Regions from separate parts of the Mus musculus genome. Here region 1 is reported to be linked to region 2. Evidence: microRNA targets listed by miRTarBase, many of them from high-throughput screens and not tested one by one. Region 2 holds a microRNA gene; the other region holds the end of a gene's coding sequence.

Evidence for each region. The annotated mature microRNA mmu-miR-362-5p reads AAUCCUUGGAACCUAGGUGUGAAU and lies in region 2 at 1,900-1,923, opposite strand. An mRNA with a match to its seed (bases 2 to 7 or 8) in the 3' UTR can be bound and repressed. Matches are read on the target gene's strand: a 7mer-m8 pairs with bases 2 to 8, a 7mer-A1 pairs with bases 2 to 7 and ends in A, and an 8mer does both.
Region 1: miRTarBase lists Zfp608 as a target of mmu-miR-362-5p. The part of its 3' UTR that is shown has no 7-base or 8-base seed match.

Annotation. Positions count from the first base shown.
Region 1 is chr18:54,884,904-54,889,979 of GRCm38, reverse strand. Zfp608 (zinc finger protein 608) reads left to right here. Exons shown (of 10, transcript NM_175751.4): 9 at 85-166; 10 at 899-1,935. The coding sequence ends at 905. Among named protein-coding and RNA genes, the nearest start is that of Gm33732, 47 kb to the right of the region's middle.
Region 2 is chrX:7,240,120-7,245,195 of GRCm38, forward strand. It overlaps Mir362 (microRNA 362), which reads right to left and starts at 1,927; the gene lies at 1,863-1,927. The region is part of intron 2 of Clcn5 (chloride channel, voltage-sensitive 5); the gene reads right to left. It overlaps Mir501 (microRNA 501), which reads right to left and starts at 1,232; the gene lies at 1,124-1,232.

The DNA of each region.
Region 1 (5,076 bases), not on the chromosome of region 2:
GCTACAGGTTCTGTGCCCTTGACCACTGGGCCTGTGTCCACTCTTTTCCAATGTCATGGAAACCCTGTGTTTTCCTCCCACTAGGCTTGACCTCTGCTGCCCTAGTTGCCTCTCAGCAGGTGGCTGCCCAGGCATCTGCTTCTGGAATGTTTCCTGCACAGAGAAGGTAAATATTCCTGACACCTGGAATTAGTTTTCTGGCAGAGATGGGCTAATGGTATTCACGGAAGAGAATATAGGCTTTGCAGATGAGAAACTTGGCACCTGAGTTTCATTTTACTGTAATGATTGAACATGCTATGACAAGATGTTTCACACGGGGCTTTGATTCCATGATCCTCATTCTATAAATGTGATGTACATCTGTAAAGAAATGTGGGGTTTTTTTGTTTTATTTTTGTTTTGTTTTGTTTTGTTTTGTTTTAAGTCTAAGATAAGGGTAATTGTCCTTAGGTTAAGATAAGGCCAAGCCTACACTTTTGTTAACATATTCATGGGGTAGTTCGGTGTTTTAGCATTTGACCAGAATGCCTACAGTCCCAGGTTCTAGTCTCAGTTCTATCAAATAAAATATCAGGATACAAAGCTTTTCATTTTATTATACTTAAAATTAACATTGCACATGGAGAAATGAGTTACCATAATGCTAAAGGGAGCCTTTGTTTCTCTTGTGTTCTAAGTTACCCTGCAAGCTGTTCTGAGAAGAAAAATAAATTAAAAAAAAATCAGATTATCAATATAAAATTAACACTCCCTAAAAATGTAGCTTATCACTTTGTGATTCTTCATTTCCCCGGGAATCGTAGGGAGGAAGCAGAACTCTCAGGCTCACTGTTTTTATGTAGTTCCTGCCCACTGTTGACAGAACCGGTTGCTAAGGTGTGCTCTTCTTTTGCAGAGAATAACAGAATCGGAAGTGTCCGGTGCCATGTGACTGGATCACATGGGGAAGCGCTTTATATAGACATCAGTTCCATGGTGTTAATTTGAAATGCCTTAATGGCAGGCAAAAAACCAGTCATTTCATTTTGTAAATTACAGATTTTATCACAGAGTAACAAATGTTGCTGTAATTAAACTTCTGTTTTATATATATGTATATATATACGTATACATATCTGTATATATACATATATATATATACATATATATATATATATTCTTTACTTTTTTGTAACAGTAACCAGGCTCGCACACACAGGGTCTGCTGCCAAGTTGCAAACCACTCAGTAAAGGAAATTAAAAAAGAAAAAAAAATGTATTTGTCATGTTGAAAGTGTTAGCCACAACAGGCTGCTTACATTCTTTTCCTTTTAAATTGTAAATAAATAATGTTCTGTATCAGTGTGCCTGAACCTTGCATATCCTTCATCTCTCTCCCATAAAACCCCTCAGAAAGGCCAACTGTGATGATGACACTTGGTACAATTTAGATGTCTAATTGGTGGCTCCTCTTAAAGATGCATCAGTGTAAAAAATGTCCCCGTGGTCACTCTTTGTACTTGTTTATTGTGGAAATAAATACTTTTGGAAGGCATGGGGTTGCCAGAACCACAAAAACTGTGTTGTATATATAATGTAAAAATTAAGATGGGGAAATAATGAGCATCTGTGAATAATGAGGTGTCATTTTTTTTTGATAATCTTGAATGGCAGATAACCCAATAGCCTGCATACCAGAGACATCTGCGATCTCTCTCTTACTTGAATAGCCCTGCAGTCTTCTTTTTTTTTTTCCTTTTTTTTTCTTTAATGTTTACAATTATCCAGTTTTAGAAGAGAAGGATTTTAACGCCATTGCCTGGTTACTTGTTTTATGCTGTAATCTAGTTTATTTTATGTAAAATGTATATTGAATGCTTTCCTTTTTATACCTGCCTTAAATAATTTGGCAATCAGAATTAAAAAGGTTTTGTTTTGTTTTTTTTTTAATAATGGTTTCTTGTGTGTCTGATGTTACTTCTCGCTGGCTGGGAGTGAGTCTAACTTTCAGAGGAGAATTTCTTCACACTATGGACACGTAATTCAACAATACACAGATACTAACTTTTCATACATGCTAAAATGATATAACAACCAAACGCCGGGTTCAATTCTATAAATATGGGCAGAACTACATGACTACTCTAAACATGGACACATAGCACCCCAACAGTATGCTAAACATGTAATCTTGTGTGTGTGTGTGTGTGTGTGTGTGTGTGTGTGTTGGTTTATTTCTTAAAACTTGTTCTCTTTATATTATCCCAGCTGTGCTGGATCTCATAGAGATCCTCCTGCCTCTGTCCCTTCCCAAATGTTCATGTTAAAGCCATTTATCACCATACCTGGCCTAAACATCTAAGTCTTGTGACATATGGACAGTAGACAGAACATATAAAATACTCAGCTAAGCAAGGTGTGGTGGCAACACCTTTAATCCCAGCACTCAGGAGGTGGAGACAGATATATCTCTGTGAGTTCAAGGCCAGCCTAGTCTACATATTTGAGTTATATGTAGCAGCCCCAAGGTAACACAGAGAAACCCTGTCTTGGGGGGGGGGGGGAAACAATCCAAAATAAAAGGATTAAAAAGTCAGTGAGTTGTCACTGACATATATAGATATTTCATGTCCAATTTCACCTTTTCTTGGCTCATCTTTCTGCCTATTGAGCCCCCCACACTATCCTAAGCTGGGATGTATATCAATGAACAAAACAGACAGAAAGTCCCATTCTCATGGAGCTTGTATCTCCCAGTAGACAGTGCAAACATACAATGAAGTCCATGCACATAGTAGGTTGTTTGATAAGATGAGTGGGGACACGTTGAGGATTTGTGGGAGTTTATAAGGCTACTCAGTCTGGGACAATGTCACTAACTTGCTGAGAAGGGAGTTCATGTGAATTTGAGGGGTGGAGGTGGGTCAAAGCACCACAGTGAAATGGGAAAGCTGGTGCAGAATCCCTCCACTGGGGATTCACTTTGGATTGGTTAAGGTTTTTTCTGGTGCTGGGGCCCAAGCCACCCCCCGCCTGGCAGATGCTCTGTCCCTGAGCTGCACACCCCAGCCCTGGAACTTGCTCGGCTTCACAATCTCATCCCAATCTGGCTCTCTATGGCTCCCCTCCAATCACCAAAGACAGGTCTACCAGCTCACTAAGAAGTGCTCTCACGTGGGTACCTTTGTTTAGCTCGCCTACCGCGTCCCAGAATTCTGGCCCAGTAGAGAAATGCTCCCTCTGCTTTGGCAAGACTAAAGCAGCATGCTCCTGTTGAGGGCTGAGCAATATTATGGGTTCCTGAAGACTTTCCAACTTACAATTAGGCACATTTTACAAATAATATACAGGAGGCCAGGCTTCCCTTTCAGTGGTAAAATCCTGAATGTACACGTATCACATGTCAGGCTTCTCATCAATCCAGCTCAGGTGGCTGACTAGACAGATTATAAATATGCACATTAGCCCATACTTAATTCTACTTTTGCCGCGAATGGGCGTGCTGATAAAGATGGAGAGATGCATGACCAAAACCACAAGACCACGAGAGTAGCCTTCCTCCTCCCTAGGCTTTCGCTTATTCGTGACTGGTTTACAGTGATCACAAAATGGAATTTTCTTTGTCTCCCCCCCCCACCCCCTTACGGTTATGATTGCTGTCTATCCCCAGGTCATGAAGTGCCGAAGGCCAGAGCTCATTGACATTGTGTATACCATTTCACTGGCTGAGTCTACATTCAGTACTGAATGGTAAATTAAAGATTCCCCAAAGACAAGCATACTTGGCTCCATTATATTACTATGATGAATCTGTCATTAATATGCTTCTAATTGTTTTACTTTTATAGACATAAAATCAGTCCCCTTAGTGACTAATAATAGGGTTTATTGATTTTACTAAACATTATTCATTCCAGGCCTGCACATATCAGCTTGTCCAGAACATAGGCAAAAAGCCTGCAGTGCCAGCAGAGTGCAAATTAACTTCGTGGAGAAATGGGGATGGAGAGCTGTTTACAGCTGCAGCCCCCATTGAATGCCGAATATTAAAAACAAGGCTCTATATAGAACCATTTATTTCTAGGTTAGATTCTCAGATGGCTTTTTCATGGAAACTTGCCATTGATGTTCAGCCCAGGTCATTAACACATGCAGAGTGAAAAGACTGGCCTTTTCCATTCGCACTGGCTCTGACCCTGACTTCAAGCGGTTGCAGCCCAAGGCTCTCTGAATGACCTGAATGAATAGCTCTGATTGAGACCGGGATGAAACAGCCGTTTAATGATAATTACTGGTCAGTCCAGTCTCTCTCTGACTCTGAAAAAGAAACAAGACAGGCAAAGCCATTTATGATTGTTTGTGTCACTAACCACAGTCATTTTCTCCCCTCTTCCCACAGCCCTCTGAGTCATAAATGCTGTTTTCTCTCAGTTAACTTACCGGAGAGAAAACAAAGTGAGGCCCTGCAAGCTGACCATTAGCCAGGCCTCAGCCATGAATTCCCTTTTAGTTCTGTAAACAAACCCTATGTAAAGCCTGGGGTGGTTGTCGGCTTCAACACTGCTGACTTTTGGGAGCCAGTAGCGTTTTGGGAGACTGGCCTGTGTGCTCTGGTCTGTTCAACACTACCTGGAACGGGGCAGAAGCAACCTACCCCACAAGGTATCACCAACTGGCAGAGGGCATTTAGCATCCCTGCCCAGCCCCTCTGCACAGTAAACTCCTGAGTTTTCTTTAGAAGTATTTAGAAAACAAGAAAACTGACTGGACAGCGGTGGTGTGCACCTTTAAGCCCAGCACACAGGCAAACTGAACTCTGAGTTAAAAGAAAGATAGTCAGGGAGGGCAAAGAGATGCAAAACAACCATGGTGCAATGAAGGGGAAGGGCCCTGCCCCGGAATATTCAGTTGTGGGGATGGAGGATAGGGGAAAACTTTAAAAAGTCCCAGAGACCTGGGATGTGAGGCTCCTGGGGCACAATGAAGACTGCCTTAGCTGAACTGGTCAACAGAGGGGAGATAGAAACTCAAGAGACCACCTGCAGTAAGTAGATAGACATGGCCCCCATTTGAGGCATGTGGTCATCAACATTT
Region 2 (5,076 bases):
CTATCAGACCCTGCACTGAGTCATTCATACAGAATAGAAAACAAGGAACAATAGACCTAGGTCATTCTTTTGAACAGCAGTTGGTGAGTCTATAATAGTCAAGGATCTTAGTGTGTTTATTAGTCTCCTAAGAGAGTAGCACCTCTGTTCATTTTGTTTCCTGCTACATCCTCTATGACTAACAGAGCTGTATCAAATAGTGCATACCTGAATATTTGTGAAAGGAAGGAAAAGGAACAGGGGTGTGGACATATAGGGGCTCTGTCCTTTAAAGTGCAGGCGAAGTGCCACCCTTTGGATTCCTTGGACAGGACTTACTATTGAAAACAGCACTTGTGCTGAGGATTAATGTTCCTGATGAATCAGGTCAGATAATCCTCTCTGTGGGCACAAGTCTGTGAATCCTCTCCTCTGTATACACTGCATTTATATGGGACTGTGTTAAAATATGGAAGAATCCAAGTGGACAGTGTACATGAAGTCCCAGTCTACAGTCCACTCATGCAGGCATAATGGATGTGACACAGCTCACTCTCCCTGGACCATTTGCTCCCTGAACCACATGTGGTTCATACTCCTGTGGACCAAATCCCTAGTTGAGTACCTGCCATACTGAATAAATAGACAGGAAACAGTGGAAGGAGGCGTAAAGGTCCTACATGAAGATAACTCAATGTCTGAACCCTTGCCCAGGTATATTGCATTCGCAAAGCACACTCATCCAAGTAGCAAGTACTAGAAAGGCACAGCCTGCACCTATGCCCTTGGCATGTGGGTTCAACAAGAAGGCTTACTGTTCTTGCCCTGTGCATTCCTCCAAGAGTTGAACTAAAGAAGAATTTCTCTTCCAGGTGTCGGTATGAGAACTAGAATGAAAAGCTGCGCACTTATGTCAATACACAGTTTACTATGTGCCCCACTTGTTCTTGATACCTGTTAGGGTCATAAGTGGAAATAAAGTTCTACCTATAAAATCTAGGTGGGAAGAGGCCAAATTTGTCACATTTACTCTCCCATGCACCATGCCCGTTGTATTTGTAGAAGGAAAGAAGGTGGGGGGAGGCATAAAAGAAGTATGCAAGCAGCAAACAGATGAGATATGATGCACAGACCTCCTGTCCTTCTCCATGCAGATCAGGCTCACCTTCCCCAAATCCTTGCCCGGGTGCATTGCATACAAATAGCATTTTCACCCAGGGACAAAGGATTAGAGAGGATGAGCAGAGCAGAAGGCCCAGGCACCTGTACCATGTTTGTGTGGTTCTGTATATAATATTTAATTTTCCTTGTCCTGATTCAGCCAAGCATCACCACCTATACCCAAGCTTGACATCCCTGATTTATATATGTATCTGCCCCCTTCCCACCATGAGCATCCTCTCTCAGAGAAAACTTCTACGTATACAAAATGGTATCTCTCCCAGATCATACTTGAGAATTTGTGGGGGCCTGATTTATGTTTGGAAGGTAGCAAGAAGGCTGGGATCTGAGAATGCATATACATACTGAAAGAGGGCACAGTGGAGGAGGATACTCCATTCCTTTCCAATGCCTTTATACAATTCAAGCTTTGTGGAACAGGGGTTATCACTGGATGTAACAAACGGGTTGCCTGAGTAGCAGCACCTAATGTGTGCTCCTCATCACATGATCTGACACTTAGCAAACTGGGAATCAAGAAAGCTCATGCTGAGAATAGAAGCATGTCTACCAAACATGATAAAGACCATTTTGCTGTTAGAAAATGTGTAGAACCAAGTCTGACAGCTAAAACCAAAATCAAATGGTGGCCAGGAGGAGGGAAGGTGGCAGGTGAGATGTGCAAGTATGGGCCATTCTACACGCAGACAAGGCTCAGCCTCTTTGAATCCTTGAACAGGTGTGTTGCACTGAAGCAGCATTCACACCTAGGTTCCAAGGATTCGAGAGGGGGAGCAAGCAAGAAGGCTCAGGAACCTGCCCTTCCTGTGTGTGGTCAATATGCTTGTGTGCAACACACTAAAAGAGAACGAGAGATGCGCTCTGTCCTTTACAAACACAAAGGTCTGGCTCTCAGAATCCTTGCTGAAGAACACTCTCACCCAGGTAGCAAGGATCAGAGAACTGAAGCAGGGCAAAAGGCTCACAGCAAATGAACGCATGGGCTCACCTTTGACACAAGGTGCTTATCTGTGATGAGAAAGAAGACAATGTTCTTGAGCTTCACATTAAGTATGTCTAGGCACCTGAGTTCAACTCCCAGCCTCCACATAAAAGAGCCAAGCGTGAGGACTCAAAGAAAGCTAGATCCCTTGGCCTAACTGGTGAGTGCCAAGTCCCTATTAGAGACTGTTTCAAAAAACAGGGTAGATGTCCCCAAAGGGGAAGCACCTCAGGTTGACCTCTGCACCCTCCACACACATACACAGAAAGAGAGAGAGAGAGAGAGAGAGAGAGAGAGACAGAGTGACAGACAGACACAGAGACAAAGAGAGACAGAGACAGAGAGACAGACAGACAGACAGACAGACAGAGACAGAGAAACCTGTCTAAATATATACATTCATATTTTGTTCTGAGATTATAAAAATATAAAGCCAGAGATACAAAATACTGAAAGAAAAAAAGACAGAGAGACAGAGAGAAGAGGCCATAAGCTCACAAGATGGCAGTAGAGATTGGCATCCTTTAACACACATCAGCATCTTGTTAAAGTTACTTCAGATACCTGGAGGACTTGGTACTAAGATAACTTACAGAGGTTTCTCATTAGTGAGCTCAAGATTTTGTATTTCTAAAAGGGGCTGGGTGATGCTGGGGACCTTACCAGCATCATGGATAAGACAGAGAAACTGTGGAGTTTGGTATCTACAAACCCTGTTTCAAACCTATACTTCACCATGTACTGGATTAAAGAATCTACCTGCTTTCTCCAAGGTCATGGACTACTTCTAAAAAATGAGAATAACAAATGCTATCTCTTTAAAGAGTACCAAAAAAATTAGGTAAGATGCAAGCCTAGAGTAGGATGCAGGACCTGGCCCCTGGCTATTATTTTTACCTCTTACACTACCATTTTTGTACACATGTGTCTAAATGAATGTCCTGTTTACAATAGTATGGTCATACTCATATATGCAAAAGCCAGGTGAAGGAGGCATGAATATCAGTGACTCGGAGAATCTGTAAAAGGCAATGCAAGGACTGGCTCTCTGGTAATTCTTCTTCAATGTGCCTAAATCAACGAAGTTCACACCCCTTTCTGTGAGGGATATGAAAGACAAAATCACAAGTTTCAATCTTTCACTTTCCTACTATATGTCACAGAGAGTGAAGAGAGTCAGGAGTAAGGAGAGAGGGGAGAAGTAGAGAAGGGGGGAGAGCGAATATAAATGAATGACAGTAAGGCATTTTTCTCTATGAGAAAACAAGTGTATCAAACAAAAGAAACCTTCTATGCTCACGGGCCTATATATGATGTACACCTAGCTATAGATGGGCTTCATTCATATTTGTTCTCCTATCTACCCAGCTGATGCAAAAGCATATCTATGACTGTCTAGGTATGTGTTTACAAAAATGTCAGTGTTAACAAACAAGTATACCTTCCTATAACAGCTCCGTCAAAGATGAAAACCAAGAGAGCCCACTACCCTTCCTTAGAGGTGTAAGAGAACAAGGTTAGGGGAGCAGGACTCTGTTCCTGCTAAGCTGTCAGTGGGCCTCTGCATTTGAAGGTTGCCTATGTGTGCTGAGAACGTGATGAATCAGGTTTGACACTTAGAAAGTGGAGGCTAAAGTAAGGAAGTGCATCCTGCAGCTTCTCAGGCATGTATATGTGATCGTACACAGTGAGAATGATTTTCATCCTCCTGTATGCACATGCTACAAAGACTGGACTGCCCAACTTACCACTGGCTCCACATATCAGCACACTATCATACAATCAGAACTATAGTCACATACTACATGGTGTTTGGTAAGCCACAAACTACATATACAATAGTAGTCACATAACATTTCATCACCTAGTAATCCTTATTAGTTTAACTATACACTCCCATGGTGGTTTAATAAAAATTGCCCTCACAGGTTCATATACTGGAGTGCTTGGTCCCTAGTAGGTAAAGCTGTTTTGGGAAGGATTAGAAGGTGTGGTGTGGCCTTGTTCGAGGAGTCAGCTCACTAGAGGTAGACATTAAGCTTTCAAAAACCCCAAGCCAGGCCCAAGCTTGTTTGTGTTCATGTTCTCTTTCTCTCTTCTCTCTCTCTCTCTCTCTCTCTCTCTCTCTCTCTCTCTCTCTCTCTCTCTCTCTCTCCATCAATATCTCCCCTGCCTCTGCCTCTAACTTGCAATAAGATATGAGCTCCCAGCTCTTGCCCCAGCATCATGCCTGCCTGCTTGCTGCCATGTTCCCTACCATGATGGTCATAGACTCACACTGAAATTTTAATAAGCCCCCAATTAAATTGTTTCCTTTATAAGTTGCCTTGGTTATGGTGTCTCTTCTCAGCAATAGAACAGTAACTAGGCAACTCCATAATATTCATACAACGACAAAAATAACTTAACAACCATATTTCTCAGAAATCCCCATTGTTAAGAAATACTTAGCTATAAATACACACAGGCAAACAAGAGAGCCTTCCATCTTTAAATTCTTTCTGAATCCCAGCTGCATGTAGAAAACACTAGCAGCAGGTATCACAGGGAAGGAGCAGACCAAAAAGCTGGATCATAAGGATTACATAGGGAAATTATGACAAAATTTACTTTTTATAAACCCTTGAACATATGAAAGGAGGAAGCTTTATGAGAATAAGAAATTTATTCTTAGATACAAACCTTAGCACATAGTACATTCATAACCCCTCATGCTTTGCCTACTTTTGGACATGCAAATTCAAGAAATGCTCAAAACCCTCTGCACTAGGAGAGGTGATAAATACATGCTTTCTTTGTGCAGACGATGCTTGCTCTCTGTGAGTCCTTGCCCAGGTACTGTGCACTGGCAAAGCTCAAGGTGTTAAGGATTAAAGAGGAGGTAGAGGAGGTACCCAGACATGCATACAATTCATTCACAAGAAAGAAGAAAA